Linked DNA regions of Lytechinus pictus. The protein of the gene in region 1 purifies or fractionates together with the protein of each later gene. This does not show direct contact. Links are inferred from orthologs where the notes say so. Each region holds a gene or a part of one and is shown on either strand. Other genes may lie near its edges.

Region 1 (12,645 bases):
ACGTGATGCCACTACGTCATTAAGAAAGAAGATAAGACAGGTTCGGAGGTGTCATAAATATGTAGTGAGGTTGTTGTACCCGATCTTGGTAAAGAGGGCTTCGTGAAACGGTTAGCGGACAAGTAGCTCACTATCTCCGATTTAGTCAAGAAGTTAGACTTATGACGGTGTTGAGAAACGGGCCCCAGGGCCATTACCTACATGCATGTATGTAAGGCTTGTAAGCATTGGTGTACATGTACAGGTAGAAAAAAAAGGATATTTTTTTTTTACAAAAAAACAGTTCGAGAAAACAAAGATTTGGCAGCCCTGCAATGATGTTTAATAATAATGATACATAATATACTTGCAAAGCACCTGTTTTAATGAGAGGGACTTTCCCATCCTTTGTGATATTCAAGCTTGGATGATATAAAATCCTTGGATTCTTGGACTTCACAGACATTGAATAATAAACCTGGAAGGGGAAAATCAAAACATACATTTAGGTCACTCCAATTTACAAAACATGTCAATTTCATCTATTCTCATTCATTCTGTAGTATTATTCCTGTGATAAATTTAAAGTAAATGTTAGAAGAAAAAAGGAAACATATAATTATTTCAAGAATTATCCATTCCTGCTCTTTTATTCTCTGGATCTTAACTGTTATACTGCATTGTGTAATTATTATTTTCTTAATAACTGATTGATTATCATGATAACTTGATATGAAATGCAATAAAAGGTCACCCCCTCCCCCTTAGGAAAAAAATGAAAAACAACTCACCTGCCTCTCACTATACCATGTGTAATATAGTTTATTTATTCCTGTTGGGACTGCTAAAGGATAGTTTGTGGCTGCACGGTTGATCTTCCCTTCTCGGATATAATACAGCTCTGCTGAAACACCTGCAGGTACATGTAACAACATAAAACATGAAATGCACAGGTAACTCAAATCATAAAAGGACTACGGTCTCTCAGTAGCGAGAGATGACCTACATGTATTACAAAAAGAGGCTTCGACTTTTAATAGGATACTACAATTACACACAGAAAATGTTTGTCTTGGCTTTGAATTTGAATCAAGTCAAGGAAAATCAAGAAGAATTTAGCATATTCCTTTTTTTTTTTTGGGGGGGGATATGGTACATGATGACAGCCCACCCAGTGAGCTCGGGGGGGGGGGGGGGGCTAAAAAAATAACCTTCCCCAAAAGTTGCTAAGATTTTACATCCATGGAATGCCCATCTATTATCTATATTTTCCTTAAATCATTTCAATTTATTTGGAAACTACAGTACCAAGACAATGAGGAATATCCCCATTCTTTCTTGATTCTAAAAATTGATTTCTAGGACTGCTATTTTATGTTTGACTACAAACATCAATGTCTACATGTGGACATGTACATGAACATAATATGCCATTTCTGGCAAAGTCACTAAAATCTGCCATTCTTAGGTACATAAATGCTTCCAAGAACAAATTATTTTGAACTCATTTATGCTTTGGGGCTCCATTTCTCAACTTGAAATAATACTGTATCATCTCAAAGATGAACTCATTGTGAACAAAGATACATATCTTCTACGAGTCTACAAAGGAAAAATGACAGATATTGTAGTATCAAAAGTTGATTTGCCTGAAAATGACATTTCAGACATGTAAGTGAAGTCACACATGTAGCACTTGATGTTAGTAGATTAAATGTGACTGTGACATCAAATGAATCTTTCAGAATCAAGAAAGAAAGGAATATTCCTGAATTTCTTGGCATTTTCGAATTCTACGAACAGACGGCGGAAAGACTTCCTTATGTCCCCTCCACTAATTAAAAAAAATACTTCTCCAAAACCCCCTTCTTTTGTTCTCTTTTTTTTTTTCTTCTTACTTCCGATTGGGACTTGGATTCGAACCTCTCACAGCAGAACAAGGCAACTCCAGTCTGTCACCTTACTCACTGAGCTAGCAGGAATTGTTGAAAGCTAGGGGTTTCATAACGGTTATCAACCGATATTAAGACTAGTCTACTCTCCAAGAGTATTGGGTATTTATTTTTTGACTAAATAAACCGATGCCATTGGGAATTACACACACTCAAATTTTTGAAGGAATAAAGCCATATTTTGGTATGTATCCAACTTTTCCTTCTTAAATCTCTTAGATACCGTATTTGTTATATAATTCTTGATAAACTTTCTCCAAATTTTTTTTTTCAATTTTAGTGGAGGGGACATATGGAAGTCTTGCCCAGACAGCTATTTCATCAATAGATTATATAACGTAGGATGCAAAATGTGAAAGTAACGCAATATTTTGAAAAAGTTTTTTTTTTAATGTTTCTTTTTTCCCTTATTTCTAGGGTGAATCATTTTTCAAATTTGCTAAATATTTGGCAAGTTACCCCAAGTCTGCGCAGTCCCCCTTGTCTGCGCACACGCGTATCTGCAGGATTCTAGTAAAAGAATATACTGTACACAACAAACACAGTCTTTACACATGCAATACATAGACAGATATTCATTAAAAAATCTGACTCAAAATGGTGGAAAAGTATAAATGATTTTAGGCATTTCATGTGAAGACCTCAAAATGCAGACTTTCTTATCAAAATACCCTAATCACGTGCAAAGTGAATGGGTGCGCAGACATGGGGTACCATCTTTTTTTAATATGAAAATGACTGCCCGAGGTTTTTTTCCAAGAAAATCCTAAATTTCTTTCAAATAGATATTTGGTACACTTACTCATAATAATATAAGGAACATTATTAACTGAAAGATTTTAAGTAAGAATAAATTCATGTTAAATCTTAACTCATATAATTAGGTGTGCAGACTTGGGGACCACCATCATTCAATTTGAACAATTATTTGAATGGCATCAACAGGCAGCGATGTCAAGAGCAAGAAAAGATGAGGAACAGACATGACAGAGTGCTAAAATAAGTCACCGAATGACTTCATGTCGATCGGTACATGTACATGTAAGTGAAATGGAACAATATTATTAGATTTTACATTTTAAATTATCTATTCCGTGCAATCGCATGGAAGTGTTAATCTGGACTCTCAGTCTCAGGAATCTCTAACCCAGGGAGCTCCGGCCCGCGGGCCGGACCCCAGGACTCGTCCGTGTAATATTAGGCAGAGGATACTATCCAAAAATGGGGTAGAATGGGGTCGCAATACATGTAGCACCCCAAATAACAGTGAAAAAATAAATTATGCACTTACCTCGATTATAGGGATGAAGGTCTATCATGACACAGAATCCTGACATCCGAGGCACAAAACTGGACCCTCAAAAAAGTAAAAAGTTCTGTCACGTTCGTTCTCCTTCTTTCAAAATTGAAAACAAAATGGCCGATCGATACCGAGAACGAACGCGACATGGAGGTCTAACTTTTTCTTTTTTTGAGTGTCCAGTTTGTGCCTCGATGTCAGGATTCTGTGTCACGATCCATATAATCGAGGTATGTGCATAATTTATTTTTTCCCCTTTTATTTCGAGTGCTATTGCGACCCCATTCTAACCCATTTTGAAGAGTACCCATGTCTGCCTAGTATTATACGGACGACTCCTGGGCTCCAGCCCGCTTTGCGTGCTGGAGCTCCCTGAGTTGAAGGAATCTCCAATTCCAAACTCCAAAGAAGTGAAGAATCAGCTCACAGAGCTCGAGAGAGTTGCATGCGTCGTGCCTTGATTTTCCCGTGCACGGCATGTATGGTAGGGGGTCGTAAAACTGCGCGGGTCCTGAAGCTAAGCACCACTCGTCGCGCATGCAGTTTTTAGTGGCAAATGCGCACTTTGTGGGAGGAATTGTGACAACGATTCCTATTCATTTTTTCCACAGAGGCTGCAGTAAATCCCTAAATGCAGAGAAAACCCACAACTGTTTGGAATTTTGAGTTATATTTGCTACAATTTCACATTATCCTATAATAATATGGAATTTTTTTGCTGTCTACAATACCCCTGCCACCCCTCCCTGCCAACATAAGTAGCACACCTAATTTTGTCTAAAGCCAAGGAGAGCAGCAATAGACATTCTACTTTGATCAATGAACAGGCTTAGTCCTACAACATCGTTGGAGTAAACTAAACTATAATATAATATGAACATATTTTAGAAATTGAGGCACAGGAAATACTATTTTTCTGCATGATAAATCGAGTGCGTAGCTTTATTTAGGACCCCTTTTAACATCGGGCAACGAATTCAAGAAGTGTTCGGAAAACACGGCAGGATTTTCGTATTAGTGAGTTTTGTGATATTTTTTCTTGCTTAATGATCTTTAGAATGTTTGCCACAAAAGGCACAAATCAGTGAAAAATAATTTGTTCAAATATTAAAATTGGCATAGTTTTTATTAAGTTTTGTAAACAAAGTGCGTAGCTTTAGTTCCCCCCATCATAAATGAACCCTTGAGTGGTTTCTACTAGGCTCTACTACTGAGGCTCTAAGCTACACTTCTAAATAAATAATGAACAAAACTGACATGATTGAATCAAAACAATACCATTATTGCACTGCCCCACTGCATTTGCCCGCACACGCACAGCCTCAGTCACTCATCACATATCATCCCCCACACACACACACAGTCAACACTGCACAGGCTCCGAATGCTGAAGCTGAGGCAATCATCTTCTCATCTCTTTCACTTCGCGACTTTTTGCGTCTCCGAATACTCACCAACTAATCTTTTAACTTCAGCTGGACTGATGAATAGGTTCATATATCCGTGTACACAGTACACACAAGAAAATAAAACAACACATTTAAGCAGAATTATATATATTATCCTTGTAGCCATTTCGTCTTTCTCTCCTGACTTCACACACAGTAGCAAATGTAATGTCAATGACCCAAATATAGCACTCCTTAACCTTTGACCCATTAAGGATTTCGGAGAGAAGACTGTGCTCGTTTCTCATAAAAATGTGCGAAAGCTTCGTTCTACTCTTTGTTGTTTAGTATTTTATTGCAGGAGTGCATTCTCATATATCAACTTTAGCAGCGGCTGTTTCGAAAGAATGTCATTTTGAAAATGTAAACATTCATAAACATAATTAAGTTTATATTCCTTTGAGACACAAGCTGAGCCTGAGGATAGAATGGCTCATAAAGATATTTCAAGCCTAATAAGTGAGCTGGATACCGACGTCACTGGAGAAATAAGCACATCTTTAGCGACGGATATTTCATTTTCTGCGGGAGATGAAACTGACGAGAATCGTCAGCGGAAATCGAGGCATTCTGAACGGAGACAACCCGGGAAGATCACCCGTCAGCTGATCGAAAGGAAGCAGTTGCTACACGACTTGCAACTGGTGAAAATTGAATTGTCCCAGAAGAATTTGATTATCGAGAATTTGAAAGCTGAACAATTAGCGAGAGTTGAAGAACTTGAAGAAAAATTAGGCGATGCCTCTCACACCAAGCAGATTTTGCAGGTGATTTAAAAAAATATTTTTTAATATTTTTTTTCAAATTTAACGTTACCGGTAATATTATAATAAAAATATTGATCAATAACGTTAGACTTATCAAACGCCAGTTGATCCTGCTGCTGAAGTGCTGTGCTGAGCTGAGTGATCATGCAGATACTTTATTCATTGAAAATGAGCATGATGAAGAATGAAAATGATGATTGATGACAATTTTAGAGTCTAAGTTTGTCTGATTATTTCTTTCCTGATTTTATATACTTGACGGATGAATGATGATGGTGAGCTGAACTTGATGATGTCATGCCTGGGAATGCAATTTTGTGATGATGATCATGACATGGTCACAAATTTGTAAATCTTCATTTTCTTATTAATCTCGATAATTTGTTGACAATTGTCAGTGTTCTGCATGGTTTGGATTACCTCGAGCGAAGTTCGTGCAGGCTCCACTCCACTTCACTACCGCTACACTACTTTCCACCTACCCAAACTTCGAGACCATGAACTCTATCTGATAATTCCGAGTGACAAAGGTGGGATTTTATGGGGGGAAAATATAAAATTCATGCAACATCACGATCTTTAAAAACAATTAAAACTAATATTCTTACTTTACACAAAGTTTCACTTTTTTTCCATGCTTCTATCAGTCTCAAAATTGGTGATTTAGAGCCAACATGAAGTTCCTCACACGTATAAATAATTCGCTGCCGATTTCAAAACATCGGATGCGATATGCGCGAGATACTGGGTCCGGTCCGAGCTCGGACCCTCGCGCATGCGATGTTTTGAAATCGGCAGCGATACGTGTGAGGAACTTCATGTTGGCTCTAAATCACCAATTTTGAGACTGATAGAAGCATGGAAAAGAAGTGAAACTTTGTGTACAGTAAGAATATTAGTTTTGATTGTTTTTAAAGATCGTGATGTTGCATGAATTTTATATTTTCCCCCCATAAAATCCCACCTTTGTCACTCGGAATATCTGAGCGAGTTTTGTACCTCAAAGTTCAGGTAGGTGGAGCGTAGTGTAGCGGTAGTGAAGTGGAGTGGAGCCTGCACAAACCTCGCTCGAGGTAGGTTTGGATAAAAGTATAGATCTAGAAAGTCTTTGAAGATCTATACAAAATACTACTTTTCCCTTTTCCTCTTTTTCATCTTTGTATTTAGGTTTCTCCCCTTTTTCTTTTTCCTCCCCTATTCTCATTTCTCCTTCTCTTCCTCCTCCTCCTCTTCCCCCCTCAATCTCCTCTTCTCCTCCCTCCTCCCCCTCCTCTTCTTTTCCTTTGTCTTTTTCTTCTTCTTGGCTGTGTATGTTTGACATTGTAGGTTACAGAGTACCAGTACTGTGATTTATGCTACATAAATTCAACATACATGTAGTCTTATTCTGAAAGGACTAGGCGTACGAGTACACGTACATGTATCTTCGCTCCTTATTCTATTCAATAGAATTAAACAGTGGACCAGGTTTTTTTTAAGTTGATAATTGATTATTGTTCACTTACTGAAATTGCAAGGTACATGTGATGGGGAAGACATTGACAAACAGCATAAAAAGCCCGGAGGGCCCTGCATTGTATACATCCAGATCCAGAAATATAAATTAATACCTGACACTGTGTCTGATTCACCAAAGGATAAGTGTTACGGTACATCAAAGATGTCCATTTTAGAAATAAATCAGTTATTTTGTTTGACCAGTTATAAACACTTTGGTAATATCTTCTTCCCATGACAGGCCAGACTTGAAGCACAACTGAATGTAAACAAAGAAGAGGCCCGCCATTTACAGCAGAAACTCCAAGCTGACTTGCACACAATCACAGAAAAACAGCGCCATCTGGAGGCCACAAATGCAGAGTTACAACGACGAGCTGGTGATGTCCGGAGGGCATTGCATAACTTAGATCTGTCGGATGAGCAGTACAGTTCATTGAAGAGAGCAAGAGAGGAAGAACTCACTTTAAGGGATGTCATAGCGGTAAGTAAGCCTGTGAATGTGTATTGCCATGTTCAATTTAAGTTTGTTAGAAAAGCTCATCACCAATCAGAAATATGATATCACTTGTTCCACTTTTTTGAATTCTCAACCTAGAATAATGATTTTGATATTCAAATAATATACAAGTAAAGAAATTACATGTGTATATATATTTTGACGCTTTTGTCTGATCAAGCAACATAATATTCATGATGGCACTCTATAAAAAAACAACCAATAATAGTCGCAATGGGAATTTTAGAGTAAAGAGCATAGAAGAGAATGATCAATCAGTTTTTGTTTAAATCTATAAATTTTCTGAATAATACAATCTATCTTTTAATGAATTTTCAGGGTTAAATAGGGTTTACAACTTGCATTTTCCAGGGTTTGAAAACAATGTAAAACATGAATTATAAGCTAGAAACTCATACAAAAAAAAACCGATATTAGCCATCATTACCATAGTTTTAAATAGCAGACCAAAACTTAATGGAAGGTATGGTGAGACTTTGTAAGTATGCTATGAAGGCTTGCAGCTCAATCCGTTAACCCTTATAATGCTTTATCAAGCCTATAGTACTATGCTCTTGACATGGATTAAGCTCAGCCCTGCATCATGCTTCAAATGGTAGATTCACTGTTTCACACTCAATTTCTCGCTCATTTTAGTAAGTTGTATGAATTTCTCACCCTCTCTGCTATTTTATTGGATTTTCAATTTCATCATCGATTGAAGTTTATAGCAAGTTATGTATATATTGTGACATGCTTTGATACATCTGAATTGGGCTCTTTCAGGTGAAATTCTATGAAGAGAAACATCCACTGCAGTTGAAGCTGACTGATCTTGAAGGCTGGAAGGACACATTAGAAACAGAGCTAAAGAGGAGCAGAGAGGAACAGTTTAGATTACATGAGGCAAGTACAATCACAGGGCTGTTTTTACAAAGCGGCCATATTTAGATGACAACACTCATGTTATCTAGTATTTCATTGATTTATTCTATAGTTTTCTTAATTTTATGTTTTCTTAATTAATATTGATGGCAACACTATCTTGATCATTTGAAGCATGACATTCATTGATTTGAATTCAGTAATTGAAAAATTATCCTTTTATTAATATTGGCTAGATATTTTGTATTGATTTGAAAATGGAAATATATTATAGATTGTTTCATGTCACAATATTCTTAGGCACTGGAGAAGGAGCAACGGCTGAAAAGTGACGCTGAAGGAAAATGTCAGAGGTTGACCCTTGACCTTGCCAATTTGAAGTCAACACACAATCAGAATGACTACAAGCAAGAGAACTACGATAGAGTCAAGAGGTCAGTTTCAAAATTGAAAAATTGCATGTATTTTGTACCTGTAAGTTCTGCTGAAGCTGAACAAAATGGCTTTGAGCAGACTGGTAGAAGTGTTTCTACACTTGTTGACTTCTGCGTAATATGAAAATGCATGAATGTGCACAAATTAAAAGCAATCTTGACTCTTCAGAGTTCACAGAAGACTTTTTTTTTATGTCATATTAAAATTGAAATTTAGCAACTTATGTCAGTGCAGTGGCATGAAAAACTTGGAGGCCACACCTTCAGGAATGATTCTTAGGAGCACTGGCATAAATCTGTGACTTAAATTCAAGTGGGGGGGATGACACAATAGACCCCCCCTTGAACAATACGTTCACTACTCGGATTTACACCAGTGCTTAAGAGTGTGGTAGTAGCACTATCATGGCATGATTATGTTGATGAATAATTAACCACTTTGCTTATACATGTAAGTCACTGGTCATTCCTGTTTGGCCCAAATGATTGTAATTATGATTTAATTATCAGCTGAATGCTTGATTTTAATTTCTAATCCTGGACAAATCTACTAACAACCTTTAAACATGAAAAGAAGTACAAATTTAGTAACATCAATCAAATGCAAGTTGTAGTTTTGTGGATTTGTTTTGCAGTGAGAGGGATAATTATGAACAGCAGCTTGATGATCTGGAGAAGCAACATACGTATCTCAATGTCACCTTCAAAGCAGTGGCCGAAGAAAGGGATCAACTTGTCAAAGAGGTACATGATAATCTGGGGTGTTTCATAGAGTTAACCCCCCCTCAACATTTTCAATGACCATTCCGCTGCATGTTTTTTTTTACCATGCCACTTTCATCAGCTGAAACTAATTGATTTTAGCATACCGTAAGTAACGGTCTATTAACCGCACCTTTTTCTCGGCGGGATAGAAGCAAAAGTCGGGGGTGCGGTTTATCCACGGTGACGGGTCTGAGCCAGCCTGTCGTAACCCCTCCCGAACATGTAAGACGTCTGCCAGTTCACAACACATCGAGTGGCCGGGCGTAGCCGCCCAGGGCAATGTCGTTTAGAGGGGTATGAGCCGCGGGTAATGAGAAGCGATTATTACGATCTTATCAAATATTGTCCATAACAAACGCACCCACCTTCATGACACTAATTTCGACTTTATTCTCGATTCAAAGCAGCGTAGTTCCCTGGCTAAGTTCAAAGAGACGCCAAGCATACTCGGTAATATTTTGTCACAGCTGAGCGAGAGCTAAGTGAGCTGAGCTAGCTTGCATTGTATTGTGGTTATGGTGCGACTTAAGCTGGCGCTATTCATTTTAACCCCTCCCCTAGGCCCTCCAAAGTCCCGTTTCACGCCAGCTTATTTTTTCTTTCCCGTTTGCTTTTCATAAGATACCATGTACACCACGCACGAGAGAGACGGCACGAAGCCGTAAAAACAACTGTAAAAATGCCAATTTCTTTGTTTCTTGAACCTTTCTGTAATCCCGTATCCAAAATTCATGCTAAGACATCGAATGCTAGACAAATTCTGAAAGTGATTGTGAGTTTGTGATGCAAGAAATGTGAATGTTTCTTCCTCCTACGCCAGGAGAGACACAGATCATTATTTGATAAGATTTACTGGTACCGTATCGTAGTTTGCAATGTACAAGAACGGCAGCGCTGTGTGTGTGTGTGTACACTGTGACTGTGAGGTGAGTGAGTGTGTAAGTGGCCAATATTGTCGGGACCTTTCTTTCTTGCTAACATCTGTAGACGAATTGATCAAGAACAGCAGATTTCCGCATACCGGTATTAATTTCTTTGGATACTTTGAAATCTTTAACTTAGTTTTTGTTTCTTCGTACCTCAAATATGCACATGTAAATGTGAGAAGGATTTTTTTTTTTTTTGTTTTTAGTCCAAAGTTGGGGGTGCGGTTAATCCACGGGTGCGGTTTATAGTCCGTTACTTACGGTACATGTAATTATTCTGCAAAAAAGTTTATGCAAAATTTCATGAATAAAAAAAAAAAAAAAAAAAAACACATGGGAAATTCATAAACATTAAAACACATAAGAAATTGAATATCAAACAAATTTTTGAAACACCATTGTGAGGAATGCTGCCAAAAAAAATTCACCTAAAATTAACATTCTACATGTAGGAGCTTTATTTAGTGAATTTTAACACAAAGTATGATTTATACATAAATTAACTAATTAATTCAAATAAAATCTTATTATTTCAGAAAAATTGACTATACTTCCGTATAGATTACATTGCACATTATCTAGGTGCCTGTGATCTCACAATGTTAAGAATATAATCATAGTTGTGTATATTCAAAAGCTTTTCTTTTTATTGATTGTCACAATAATTAGTTCATCACCTTTGTACTTCACCCCCCCCCCCATCCCATAGCTCGCCGATAAGAAACAAGAGTTGCTTCTCCTTGACCAAGACAAGGGGTACTTTTCAAAGCAGTTCAGCGATGTCAGCAACAAACTTGCCCATGCTGAAGAACGTCTGCTGTGTGCCCAGGCTGACGTGGACCATGCCAAGCGATCCAGAGAAGAGCTTTACGAAAAGTACATTGAATCCAGGTCAGTTGAATTCTATTCTAGAAATAACAACCCTTGTAAATTTCTTAAAATTGAAATCATTTACTTGAAATGAAATGTAGTACTTGAAAAGGATCCATTCACACTTGATGAAAAGTGCATTGGATCAAGATGATTAAAGGTGCATTCCATTCTAGAAAAAAAATTCATGGAAATTTGAAATGTTATCCATCATTTGCCTAAATCGAAATATACTACTTGAAAGGACCCGTACATATTATATAGAAAGTACATTGAATCCAGGCAAGTTGCATTCCATTCTTGAAAATATAAATTCTAGTAAATTTAAAAATTTGATAATTTACACAAATTGAAATACTACTTGAAAAAAAGGACCCTTACATATTTTTATATGAAAAGTACATTGAATCTTGGTGGGCTTTCCATAAATAATCACAACTTATTTCCAGAGGGGCTTACCAATAGAAGCTTTGCTTTTTAATAAGTCCCTCATTTTCATTTTGATACGTTAACTATGACCTGTAATTCTCAATTATTTAATTATCAAAATGTGTTTACAAAACTACAACTTTTACTGATCACTTTTGTATATTATGTATCTATGTGTTTGTTGTTATGTTTATTGTTTGAAAATGGAAATGAAATAAACTGAACTGAATTGAAAAACTGAAAAAAAGGTTTTGCACAACTGGAACATGTTCTTATGTACTAAGTCAGCTGCACAAGGATCATATAGCATGAGAAAGGGTCACTAGTGTCCTGCATAAAGTCCGCCGTAACTTCCAAGCGGCTTTTATGAAACACTTGGTAATATTCCATTCCATAATAATAACAATTCTTGTAAATTTGAAATGTAATTAATCATTTGTACTTTGCACGAATTGAAACGAAGTACTTAAAAAAGGCTTATTCAAGGTGATTTAAGTCTGTAAACTTTTTATTCGCAGGGATCAGTGTAAGGTGGAGTATGAGACTCGACTAAGAGAAGAGCTAGAGTCAATCCGACTAAGGACAGAAACTGAGATTGATAAACTGAAGAGTACCATGAGGGATACCTTTGAAAGAGAGAACAGGTGAGTCAGGCTATAACCAATACAACTTAGTCGTATTTAAGCCATGAAGTGAACAGGCAACATCAACGTCATAAAACGTCACTATGATTTTCAATTTGAGGTGATCAAATGTTGTTTCAGTCATTAGCTGTTAAATTTCAGTCATGAATATGTTGAAACTTCTCAATGTTCAGCAATGCTAAATTGCTGCACAGTCTGATCTGAATAGCATGATATGCACATGAGGACTGAATGCATACTGCATACAGAT
Region 2 (12,716 bases), on another chromosome or scaffold:
TGTCTGTTGTAGACCTTAACCCTTTTAACAAGGAGTCATATTTTTCAAATTCTTCCAGGTAAAAAGATCAAATACATAATACTGAATAATTTAATTAGACTGTAGTTAGCAATTAGTTTATTACTGGATTTCATTTGAATCCAAAAGATTTATTTTTTAATCGTGAAATTAATAAGAATACATATTCACTTTATGTTAGATTAAGGGTGAATGGCACCTTAGGAATTGAAATCAATGAATTGTATTTCAAACATATTTATTGTTTTATTACACATCAAACAGATGATTATTCTGTGCAACTAATGCAACTTCTATATTTTTAAAGATCTTTATACTGGTAGTTGTATTCCGCACCATACAGCCATGGGCATATCTTTGTTTTATTATTGGAATATAATTTGACAGATGTAGCTTACGAACAGACGACCTTTCGTAGACAGTCCAAAATAATTCAAATCATTCAATATATTTACTCTGGTGACGTCAGCCAAATTTAGAGCTTCACATGGAATGACAAATTCTCTTACAGGGTAGGGATGACTGTTAATATCTCTACTTTATTCCATCCCGGCTGCTTGTTAAATATTTTATTTCGGCTTGACCAACTAAACCAGATTTTAGATGTTGAAGTTATTGACCTACCTATAAAGCTATATATTCATTCATTCATCATTTTCTTTCTTTCTGTACTTATTATTCCATTCATTTGTTATTTTACTACATGGGCCAATATTATTGATATTTCATATTCTATGACTTATTCCTGAGGATGATTTTAATTCAATGGGATGTACAGCAGTGGTCATTTAGAAAAGGGCACTTTTGTTGTTGAATATAAGATAACTTGAAATAAACCACTGTACAAATGCTAGTTTATGAAATACTTTCAATCCACATGAAACCTTTCATTTCCAGAAAATTTTCGCAATTTATCTGTCATTTTTTTCAGAAATCTATTTTTTTCCATTCATTTATTATTTTACTTAATTTCACAGTATAGCATTTTGCTTTGGTTTGCTATCTTGCATATACTATGTAAAGTAACTAAATTTAATTGCTTTTTGCGATGACCTTGCAATCTTGATAGATTTTAGAGTACCATGCCCTATCATTTTTATGAGGGATACTCATACAAATAATATATTGATATTTTCCTCTTATTTGTACGAAAGAAAATTTGAAAATTAAATCGATTTCACTCAAGGATAGTATTATTTGGCTCAGGCCATGGCCTTAATATTTAATAAGTAATAATCTACATCATGTAGCTAATAATCTACATCATGTAGCTAATAATTTATTTGATTAGTTACATTAATAGCTTGTTTATCTGCACAAGGTCTTTGATTATCATCCTACAGTGTATAAAGATATCAATATTATTTTTATATGAAGAAATAATTATCTTGGTGTTTAATGTGGAGCATAAACTAGAGCATCTGGACATCGTTTTAGTCTCAGTGTCAGAATGGAATTATTACCAGTATCTTTCTAACCTCTCTTCGGCAATATATCACCCGTTCGGAGCTAGATGGTCACTAATGCATAAATTAACGTCATGTTCAGACTTGAAAGTAATATTTAGTTATGTGATATTGGCGATAATGTAGAAGTACATTGACTTTGATATGCATGTGTAAATGTAATGTAACATTTCTCTCAGAGAAAACATTGCTATATTATTGAATTATTGACGAAAGATCATTGCGAGATGGACGGGGCGGGGGTTGTACACAACTGAACATATAATTTATAGGTCAGATTCAAGAACATATTCCTTTCCTTTGTTCAAGGTTTTCTATTCCGGCAAGCAATTACAAATCATGGTTCATAGAGCACATTGTGATCGCTGCTTGCACGGTAGGAAAAAATGATAGAAAAATGGGAAATGAAATAAATCGGCTGGTTGGATGACAATAGACACGGCATGTTCGGCCTTGCTTGAGGAAATGTCAACAGTCAATGAATTTCAATCACTGAAAATGTCACAGACTCTGGTGATCTTCTAGCTCAATCTTTTAACCCGTTCATCCTCTGGCTTAAGGGGTTTGATATTAAAAATCTTGAGGAATGAATTATCCTTTGAATTATCCAGTGGGTCGGAGCATCTGCAATACAATTTTTATGGATTAAAATTTACAGCTAGAAGAAGTTATATAGTAGAAAAGTAATTATATTTGTGAATATTGTTATTGCTTGATTTTTGTCAGCGTGGAGTAAAATAAATCAAAGTGTATTCTATGTATAGAAAGACTGTTAATTCTTTGCACTCTAATATAGCAGCATAGGAAGTGCATGAGGGCAATGGATGGCTTTACTCGAATCGACTCTAAACATCCCTACATGTAAAGTGAAATACTTTGAGGTTACTATCTTTTCTTGACTCTAGAGTTGCCCAATTGAAGAACATTTAGAAAATCAATATTCTAGTATGTGTATGGCTCAACAAAAGGTTCAGCAATGCAACTGTTAAATTTAGTCATATTTGACTATTTTCTAGATCATTTGGCTGAAACACATTCATTTCTTACTGGGAATTTGTATTAAGATATATATCAGTTCCACCCAGCTAGTCCTATAGTGGGGGTTTTTAGTATATATATAATTATATATATGTATATTTTTTTATTATTTTGTGTCTTTTTTGAAGACTCATTATACACTTAAGGCCTCTATGAGGTCTGTATTTAATTGGACAACAAGTGCATGAATTTATTTGCTTCACTAATTGAGTATATGAAGGGCCAACAGTTCAGTCTGTAATTGCCCAGTATTTCATGCAAGGCAGGTACACCTTGCTGTCAATATTAATGACATAGTAAATTGATAGGTTGCGGGATTAATCTTTTTATTGACAGTAGGAAGCGAGTGTTGTGCTGCATATTATTGGGTATATGTAGCATTGCTCATGACCACGACTGTTCAATAGACTTTGTATAACATTGTTTTGTTTATGCTGAAATTAAAGGAGTTAAAAGCAAAAGACGATGAGTGAGAATGTTAGATTCTTGTAATAAGGTATGTGGCCTGTGTCCATGGGGCATGCATACTTTGGGCCAGGGGCGGATCTAGGATTTTCCAAAGGGGGCGGGCACATTTTCCCTAGGAAAATTTAACAAACAAAATAAAAGAAAGAAAAAAAGATTAAAAAATGAAGGTTATTTTGTCCCGCTTCAAATTAAAAAAAAAAAGGCTCCTCACTTCTGTTTGAACGACATATTTCTATTAAGAATATTTCCCATGACTCTCAAAGGGGGGGGGGGCACTGGCTAGATGTGCCCCCCCTGGAGCCACCACTGCTTTGGGTTATGAATTTTTGCCCAAATCATGGGTGTTTGTTATTTCTAAATAGTAAATAAATCTAAATTGATTTCAGTTTGCAATCTCGAGATTACAGTAAGCCCCCCAAAATGTTACGTCTCCAATTCTCCATCGCAGATAAAAAAAAATCTTATTATTTTGATCTAGATTTAATTTTATCTAGGTATAATCAGGGATGCCAATTTCCAGACCAAAGTCTGATTCAGACTTTTTTTAAAACATACATGCATTTTCAGTCACAGAAAACATGTCTTTCACGTATAGGAAAAGGGGGCAATTCTAGATGATTTTTAGACTTTTCTACCAAGCATCCCTGTTAATATCTGAAAACATACGACTGGTGGAGATGTGCGTACTATTGCGCATCACAAGATGACTGGGCCCATCTGTAACTGAAGGTACATGTAGGAGGACTGCAAGGGCAGGAAGACAAATATGCCCCCTAGCCATCTAATCAGAACGGAAAGCTGTTCATAATGAGAAAATCAAATTTGCTCAGTGAATCACACTACGAGCAGAGATCTAGCACTCGAGGAGAATCATATGAGATCATACTCCACAAACGCCTCCTGCATACGGGATCAACTATGGATACAAAGAAATACATAGTTGCGCGGTGGAGGAGTGCTGCTTTGTGAATGATTGGATATATTTATCATAATGATTATGATATTCTTGAAATGTGCTTGTTTTAAAATGAAAGAAAATTGTGTGATAAAACCATTGATTGAATGTGATAGCTTACTCCCCCATTCTGAGCTTCAGTACTTCATATGATTAGCCAAATTTTGTTCACTGCTTACTCATCCATTATTTCTCCCCTTTTCCTCCTTAAAAAAAGTAGATGAGAATCCATATTTTACTCTTCAAAATAGAAATCTGAAATAGAAGTACCGGTACTCTGAAAAATTCATTGTGACCAATTGATCGTAGGCCCGGCAGTCACTGTAGCGTCAGATTGACATTGCTCTATCCCTTAAATTGTTGGAAAGTCAAACAGGGTAGCAGCCACTGGCAGATCCATGGGGGGACACAGCCGGCCCGTGCCCCCCTTTTGAGAGGCACAATTAAAATTTGTAATGTAAAAATGCCGTTAAGACAGAAGTGTGTCCCCTTTTGAAAGTGAAGACCTTTTTTTTTGTCAGATTTCTTCGTGGACGAAATGTCCAAATTTATTTGTTGTAGACTTTTTGGGGGGGCTTGTTAAATTTTTCCTCGGGGGGGGAAATGTGCCCTCCCTTTTGGAAAATCCTGGATCCGCCCCTGGTAGCAGCAACTCTGATCTATTAACACATTTTGGTCTGACCCAACCTATCGCATATGAGACGGAGGCTCTACCAATTGAGCCAACACACCGCAATAAAAACACTTATATTCAAACAAATCAATAAATAATCCTTGTTTTTTCTTGTTTTGATATGTTCAAAATTGTAGGCCTACATCTGGTATATGGGCTATATTTCCCTTATTTTTCTTTTTGAATGAACCATTCTGTTTGCATCTACACATATATCATTCTATGGTTTTACTTGAAGACTGGGATATAATCTATTTTTATTGATTGATCTGAATACAAAATATTTTTTGGATATTGATTCAATTGAAAATTAATTTTCATGGAGACGTAAGATATCAAGATTTGTAGTAGTTTTAGCAGGAGTACCTCAACTGGGTCTTATCCAAAGTGCTCTTCTTTATTTCATCTACTTTTCTTAAATCTAATTGTTTTTTTTCCTCGAGATCTTTTTTATCTTTGATTAAGGAAGATATGATTGAGAAGAAGTCATTTTGGGGCAGAGTAAATAAGAAGCAATTTATGAAATGAATTCTGTCAGCCAGCCGACTCGGTGACAGCCAATCTGTTGCCACTTTGATTTCCTCTAATCAATACTGCAACTCTCAACGGCACGGTGTTATTCTTGCAATTTCATGCGATTGCTCTCATAGAAGGAGGCAGCTGGAACACCAATACCTCTATCCGCATTGACTAGCTTGAGAACTTTAAATATTAATGCAAAAATTCTAAAACTGATTCCACAGTGAATGGTGGTGTGGGTATAAAAGTTTAATACATGATGAAGCCATAAATAAGGACCTGGGGCCCATTTCATAAGAGTTACAACTGCTGTAACTTTCCTATTATCGCAACTACCATGGCAACAGGGCTCAGCAGCCAATCAAAATCAAGGTTACTGTGGTAGTTGCCATAATGGCAAAGTTACAACAGTTGTAACTCTTTATGAAACAGGGCCCTTGTACCAGGATGGGGCAGAAAAAAGTTTTGTCCATTCATTATCATGTACTACCAATGTCAAAAAATGGTAATTCTCCATGTTCAGGGAGGAATAAAACTTTTTTCATAGTTCAACGGGAAGAAAATAGTAATATTTCATATAATAATATACAAAAGAAATGGCGAGTGGGTGCTGTCATCAGTCTCCTCATTTGCATACCGACCAGGATGTGAATATAACTGTTTTGTGAAATTAAGCGAAACTTAAATATGTCATAACTTTGAATTTTACATCTAATTTTGATGAAATTTTCAGGGTTGTGCTCGTTGGACTTTTCTCTTTTTATTCAAATTAACTTTTTGCTGGGGTGGACTTGTCATTTAAGAGGATGAATTGACAGAAAAGAAAATCTGCAATGTTTATTGATGATGGATGTGTTCAGTGACCCCTTGCTACAGATGATCTTCTTTCATATTCCGTGGTACACAGAAAAAGCTGATGATGGAAATTGGCGGACAGAGAGTGAGAGATAGTGAATGAAAGAGAATGGGAGGATAAGGGAGGGAGGTCAGGTAGGAAGAGCAACATCAAGTGAAATATGAAATGCGTTCCATTGTGGTTTAGCTCTGTCATAGAACTGCAGGAATACTCTAAAATAATCCAGCTGTAGTTTATTTTACTATTTTTTTAACATTGAAAATTCAATTCAATTCAATTTATTTTTCATTCTTCAACATAATACAAATAATTACATGATAAATCAGGCCTGACAAAGAGCTAACACAAAGTCACAGAATTTTTTGTTTGTTTGATGTACTGATAAAAATAAAGAATGTACATATCATTGATAGACACTCTGTCCATATAGTATTGATTCAGGTCCCCACTCTGGGGCACTTTCTTTGCAGAAATGGCCCCAGATATCCTTTTTATTAATGTAGAGGAAAGTCTTGAATAATATCGCTAACGAAACATTCACAGCCAAGATTCAAGTTGCTGTTCATAATATTTATTATGGATTCATCTCATTGATTGACTTAGAACAATTATTTCTCAGAATCCCAGAATTTCTTGTTGATTAAAAAAAAAATGAAATGGGTTCCAGGAAGATAGCAATTTTGGGATACACTTTCAGTGTACGACTGTTAACTGTATATAAGCAAAAATAATCATGTTCACACACTTTCTTTGTCTTTATTTCTAAGTGATACTGTGAAATGTAAATCATATGAATAATTTTGTATTGTTCTTTTTTATTGAAAATGAATAAATATAGATTTGAACTTAAACTGAAAGATTTAGGAAGTTTTGTAGGATTTTGACTTGTTCTGTGTTTGTATTATATGATTCATAATAAAGTATACTTTCTCTGCTTAGATTCTCCATGAGTAAACGTTACTCTGCATTATAAAGTGATGATTTTTTTTTTCTGTTTCTGTTTAATTTACATTTTTAAATTGTATCGAAATTTTAAAAATGATGAAAAGACTGGTAACATCAGGAGTGAGGCCTCCTAAAAAATGTTTAGAATTCTAGATTAATCAGTCGATCAATCAATCAGGCAATATAGGATTCAACTTTGACAAATTATGCTTTATATAAGTAATAAATTTGAATGAAATTGTAATATTGTAATTCATTATGCCAGTGCAAAAAAAGATGAAAAGGTGCATTTTAATTTGAAGGAGAAGTCCATCACCCACTGGAAGAAAAAAAAATGTACACTGTAAGTTTGTAACTTTATTATGAAACTCAACTTAGCTTTTGTTTTAACTGAAATATTTTCTTGTGTAATCTTGCAGGGACCTATCGTACAATAGGCTTGGTAGTGTGAATAACTCCATGTTCATTGGATTATCATCACTGGAAGAACTGTAAGTAATTTCAACCCCCTTCAGACCCTTAGCTTTAATTTATATGCAGAATAGTATTATAGTATCCCATTTACAGGCCTTCTTCAACTTTCCTGTTGACTGATTAGAAAAAAAAGATTGACCAGAAGATTGATCAGAATTGTTTCTACAAATATAAAGCTGTTGATTGCAATATTTTTTGTTTTAGGTCATCTGCTGGTTTTATGAAGTGGTGACTAACATGATGAATGTATCATAAACTGTTTGATTATATACATGTATAGGATAATAAATTACAATTACCAGCTCTATAGGTCTTGAAATGGACAGCACATTGTTTCATTAAACTTGTTTATCAATCTTCATTTAATGTGAGCTTTGAAATTTTAACTTTTGAAGTCATGCTTATAGCTACTGATATGATCCAATTTGATTTGCCAATTATCATTTGTCTCACATTGTAAATCATACGTTTATCAAATGCGATTTCATTTATTTTCATGTTTTCTTTTTCAGTATTTTCTCCCACAATCAGATATCAACCATTTCACAAGCGACCTTTGACCGCCTCACCATGCTCAGGAGACTGTAAGTTGTTCTTTTTTTTTGGGGGGGGAGGGGAATGAGTACATTTTCTTAAAATCTGAAATTCATTGTGCCGTAATGAATAAAAGCAAAATCTTATGTACAATGTGCTGAGTAGTGACCACAATTTCAGAAACGTTTGATTACCTCTTTGGACATGCTGGATTCAATGCAATGATAATTGAATACATTATAAAACAAGGTAAAATTCTACTGCAGGAATATTTCCAGTATAAATAATGTTTTAAATATTTCACCACTCATCACACCTTTGAAATGCTCATTTGCTATTTGAAATTAGAGAATATTTGGATGATAATTCATACACCAAATAACTAAGTTTTGTATGTAGCAGATATTATGGACATTGCTATGTAGAAGTTTTGATCAAAGATTATACAAGAAGACAAATAAACATGTTTGTTGTTTGCTGATGTTTCAATTCATTGCCCTTCCTCTTTGTCCAGTTACAAAGCCTTCTTTGTTGTATTGAGAGAATTATATCCTATCACTAAAAATTGCACCTCATTGTGACTCCAAAGTTGACATCTCAAGGGACATTTATAAAAAAAACACCATATCAAATGGAAATGATTATTTACCCTGAATTCGATCTATTCATCTATTGAAGATTACTGTAGCAAAATAAAAGCTTTGCATCTTCTTTGCATTGTTGGCTGTTTTTTAAAAGTATTTTCAGCCTTGGCACAAATTCCCTAGTGAACATTTCATCTATTTTCTTGTAAAACTATTACTACATCAATTCACAAGTAGAAATCTCCAGGGCACAAATAAATTAAAACCTTTGATTATCAATCTTAAATTTTGTAGCCATGTAGTGAGGTAACTATTTTTGTATCCACAGTTTCAGATAAATTTGCTCTGTTAAATAAAAACAAATTTGTTGTCTTATATTTCATCATCTTGTCCTTACGATACATAGGAAGTTATCTCTCTAGGTCAAATTGGAATGGGAAATAGAGATTGGCGAGTCCATAAAAAAAGGTTGAATAACCATTTATATCCATCATCAAAGATACCCCTTGTCGATTTAATTCAAACTTGATCTTATTGTCATAGTAATCACATCGTAACATCTCCAAATGCTTCCCTTGGGTTAATTTCTTTCCACTGTTGTTGTGACCTTTATGAGACTAATTGCATCTATAATGTGGGTACTCAAGCTATAAGGGTATGTTTTCTTGCCATTATTTTTGTTAAGGATATCAAGTATTTTGCCATTCAGGATATGGGGAGAGTTGTTCACACAGTGGTATTCTGTACCAGTTGTACAACATCTACTAAAAAGTAAAACTTTTGTGTTATATTAGTTGTGACGTGTTCTTATCAATGACTTGTGAACAAATATTAGATACATTAGTGTGCATACATGTATCTTTCAATGCTTTCTAGTAAATTTTAGTAGAAATTCAAAGTATCAAATGAAAATTCTGATGTTAAAATGAAGACCTCTCACCTTTCATTGCAGTGAGTTTGCATCAGAGTATCTGGTCTGTGACTGTAAGTTGGACTGGATTGTGAAATGGAAACGCACTCGAACCCCAAAGGTCAAAATCTCCGACAGTACGACCTGCGCAGTGCCAGAGTCTCTCGCCGGTCGCCAGGTCAGCAGTTTGAAGAAAGCCCAGCTCAACTGTGGTAAGTGAATTAATGATTAGCCGGATAAAATAAATGAATTGGAAGTAGCAATTTTGTTTATATATTAACCAACTTCAAGATTACTGAAATTCACCAGACTGTTAGTGATTTCTTAGCTAGGTTGAATCTTTGCCTAAATTAAAAGAGCTCATTGAAAATGTTAAGATTGATTAAGGTATTCTTTTGACTTCATGTATTGTTGCCTAAAATATATGGGAAAGCCACACCAAGCATTTGTAAATCAATCGTATCAAGATCAAGATCGTTAGGCTTGATTCATCTACTGTCTCTTCTCTCCCAACCGGTCAGACTTTCCCCTGCAGATGTCCCGCTTTGAGATCCGTCCCAGCAGTGACCAGGTGGTCTTCAAGGGGGATCCCATATCACTGGAATGCATTGCGTCTTACCTGGATGAGACCCAGCAGATGGTGTGGCTAAGGAACAAGCAGGTCCTAGAGAACAATGCCTCGGCTGGGATCAGCATTGAAACCCACACCATGGAAGACCAGGCTCTCATGACAAGCACTCTGACAGTAAGTAATCCTGCATTGGTGAGTTGGGGCTATGAAATTCAGGAAGTTCCTAAGAGAAAAATTGATTTGATTTGGTTTCGTGTTTTGTTAATGCTGGGCGGCCCCTTCAGTGAAAAGAATCAGTTTTTTTTCCAGGAGGCACTGTATAATAGTACAGTAACAATATCAAGACAATACAGATTTTAAAAATACATAACTAGGTATCCTTTTATTAAAATGTTCTACGCCAAGGTATAGACATGGCATGATATTACATGTTTTGAAAGGCAGTAATGAGCAACTCATATCCTTGAGGATGTCAAATAAGTATTATTCCAACGATTTTTAAGGCAGAAGATATTTATATGCTTTTCACATTGCATTTCCTTAACCCCATACCATCCTTAACCCCGGACTATCCTTAACCCCATACTATCCTTAACCCCGGACTATCCTTAACCCCATACTATCTTTTTTTGGATTTACACTGTCTTTCTTAACCCCATACTATCTGCTTAGCCGGGGTTAACGCCTTAACCCTGGACTATCCCACAGCTCATGAATATTGATGATTTTACCATACAGAGCATGATTAACGTGCAATTTCGACTTCTGTGATTGGCTATTGCTTAGCCCCGCTTTTCCTTAGCCCAGTTTCGTTACACACTGCATCTCTAAGCACCGCAATTGTGGTGCTTGCACCACAATAAGCCGGCTAACTCTGCTTTTTTGCAGGGCCAGATAGTACTGTACTATTTACCGTGCTAGCCCACTTTACTAAAACTAGTGTGAAAACGAAGTGGGCTAAGCTTAACCCCAGGAAATTGGTGGGGCTAAGGCCCCCCCTTAGCCCCACCAATTTCCCGGGGTTAAGGAAAAAAAGTACAGTGTGAAAAGCGTATTCGAAGAGAAATAGCAATTCAAATTCAGAATTTTGAAAGTAAATGAATGTTGCTGCACATTATTCAAAATTACTCTGAGTACTTTGTATTAGGATCTTTATGCAACATTGAGACAAAATTTATGCAATTCAATGCAGTCAACTTGTAGCAACTTTAATACTTGACTTCCATAAGCTAAATCATAGACAATTAAAATATGTTGATCTTTGATTGATTAGATTCAACAGATAACCCAAAGCACCGGTCTGTGGAAGATGGAGTGCCAAGTGATGACTGGTAGTGGGCGTGGCAAAAAGAATGTTATGATGGATCTGTATGTGTTTGGCCACATCAATCAGTCTCACAACTGCCAGGAAGAAATCACAACTAATAACAAAGGTAAGAGAGTGAGAGTCAGGACGATGAGGTGGAAGAGAAAAATGATGATGATAATGATGATGATGATGATGGTGATGATGGTGGTGGTGGTGGTGGTGATGATGGTGGTTGTGGTACTAGTGGTGGTGGTTGTGGTACTGGTGGTGGTGTTGATGGTAGTGGATGGTGATGGTGATGATGATCGTGATTAATGAGGATGATGATGACCATGAGGAGAAAGAGGTGAAGATAAAAAAAAAGTATGTTCACAATTGTGAGGAGGAGGAAGAAATTTGTGGTCTTGGTAATAATGTTGATTATGATATTATGTTTATGATAAAAAACTTTTGTGTTGCACTTGCACTTTGATGTCTGAATGTACTTTCAGTTGATTTGATTGTAATATTCAATAGGTAATTACTATGCATCTGATCAACCTATTCGTTGAAGCTCAAGTCATCATGATTTAACAACTAAAGAGTCTTTTGTTTGAAAACCATTTCATAAATATATATCTGATATTACAATCATACTTTTTAGTTTCACTACTCCTTCATGTGCCTCTAATCAGACACCAGTGATAACCAATGCCCTATAGAATCCGATGATTGCAGTTTATTTCTTTTCTATGATAGGTACCTTTCAGTGGCAGGCGACCATCCCTGATATGACGGCAGAGGTGCCCTGCCCGTATGGAGGAGGTCTTCACTTCACTGGTGGTGATCCCTCAAGGGCCAAAGGAAGACGTACCTGCTTAGAAGGGGGCCAGTGGCAGACCCCTCAGACGGATCTCTGCGATTACGCGGATGAGGTCACCCGCATGCTGGAGAAAATGGCAATGGTAGGAGAGAATTTGTCAGAACTAATTTGTTTATGTATAGGAATATGGAACAGTTCATGAATAAGGTACACATAATTCAATGTTTCAAAAAATATTAGACCAAGTTAGGGATTTATTTCATAAGACATTTGAATTATAATTGTAGTTGTTTTATTTGTTTTCAGTTTTATATTGTGGAATTTTTCGTTAACTTAGTCTTATTTGTTTGATTTATTTCATGTAAATTTCATTTTTATGTTTAGTTTGATATGTATAAACAAAAACTATGCAGAACCTCATATGATATATATCTTTGGGATGTAGATGTGATGCTTGTAGGTAGTTCCTTTTGCACCTGACCAGTGGATGAAAAATGGCACAAATGCTGATATTCAACCAAAAATTTTATCACTTTATTATATATATTCCTTAGAGCATTTTTTTTAAGTTGCTGATTTTGTTGCTAAGATTTC

The links.
Region 2: the proteins of tyrosine-protein kinase RYK-like (region 1) and adhesion G protein-coupled receptor A3-like purify together in Homo sapiens (affinity purification with mass spectrometry; 3 studies listed by BioGRID and IntAct, with this or other methods). This does not show direct contact. The link is inferred for Lytechinus pictus from reciprocal best matches to the Homo sapiens genes RYK and ADGRA3.

Annotation. Positions count from the first base shown.
Region 1 is NC_087260.1:21,523,501-21,536,145, reverse strand, and holds the start of tyrosine-protein kinase RYK-like, read right to left. Parts: upstream 4,878-12,645; 5' UTR 4,807-4,877; coding exon 4,686-4,806; exon of another isoform or gene 4,567-4,685; intron 893-4,566; coding exon 771-892; intron 458-770; coding exon 358-457; intron 1-357. Other genes in the region: progesterone-induced-blocking factor 1-like, read left to right, coding at 5,108-5,446, 7,185-7,427, 8,229-8,348, 8,628-8,761, 9,397-9,505, 11,162-11,343, 12,270-12,395. UniProt on the Homo sapiens protein: May be a coreceptor along with FZD8 of Wnt proteins, such as WNT1, WNT3, WNT3A and WNT5A. Involved in neuron differentiation, axon guidance, corpus callosum establishment and neurite outgrowth.
Region 2 is NC_087256.1:14,216,360-14,229,075, forward strand, and holds the start of adhesion G protein-coupled receptor A3-like, read left to right. Parts: upstream 1-7,363; 5' UTR 7,364-7,397; coding exon 7,398-7,429; intron 7,430-7,924; coding exon 7,925-7,996; intron 7,997-9,482; coding exon 9,483-9,652; intron 9,653-9,961; coding exon 9,962-10,185; intron 10,186-11,284; coding exon 11,285-11,444; intron 11,445-12,058; coding exon 12,059-12,264; intron 12,265-12,716. UniProt on the Homo sapiens protein: Orphan receptor that may have a role in planar cell polarity pathway.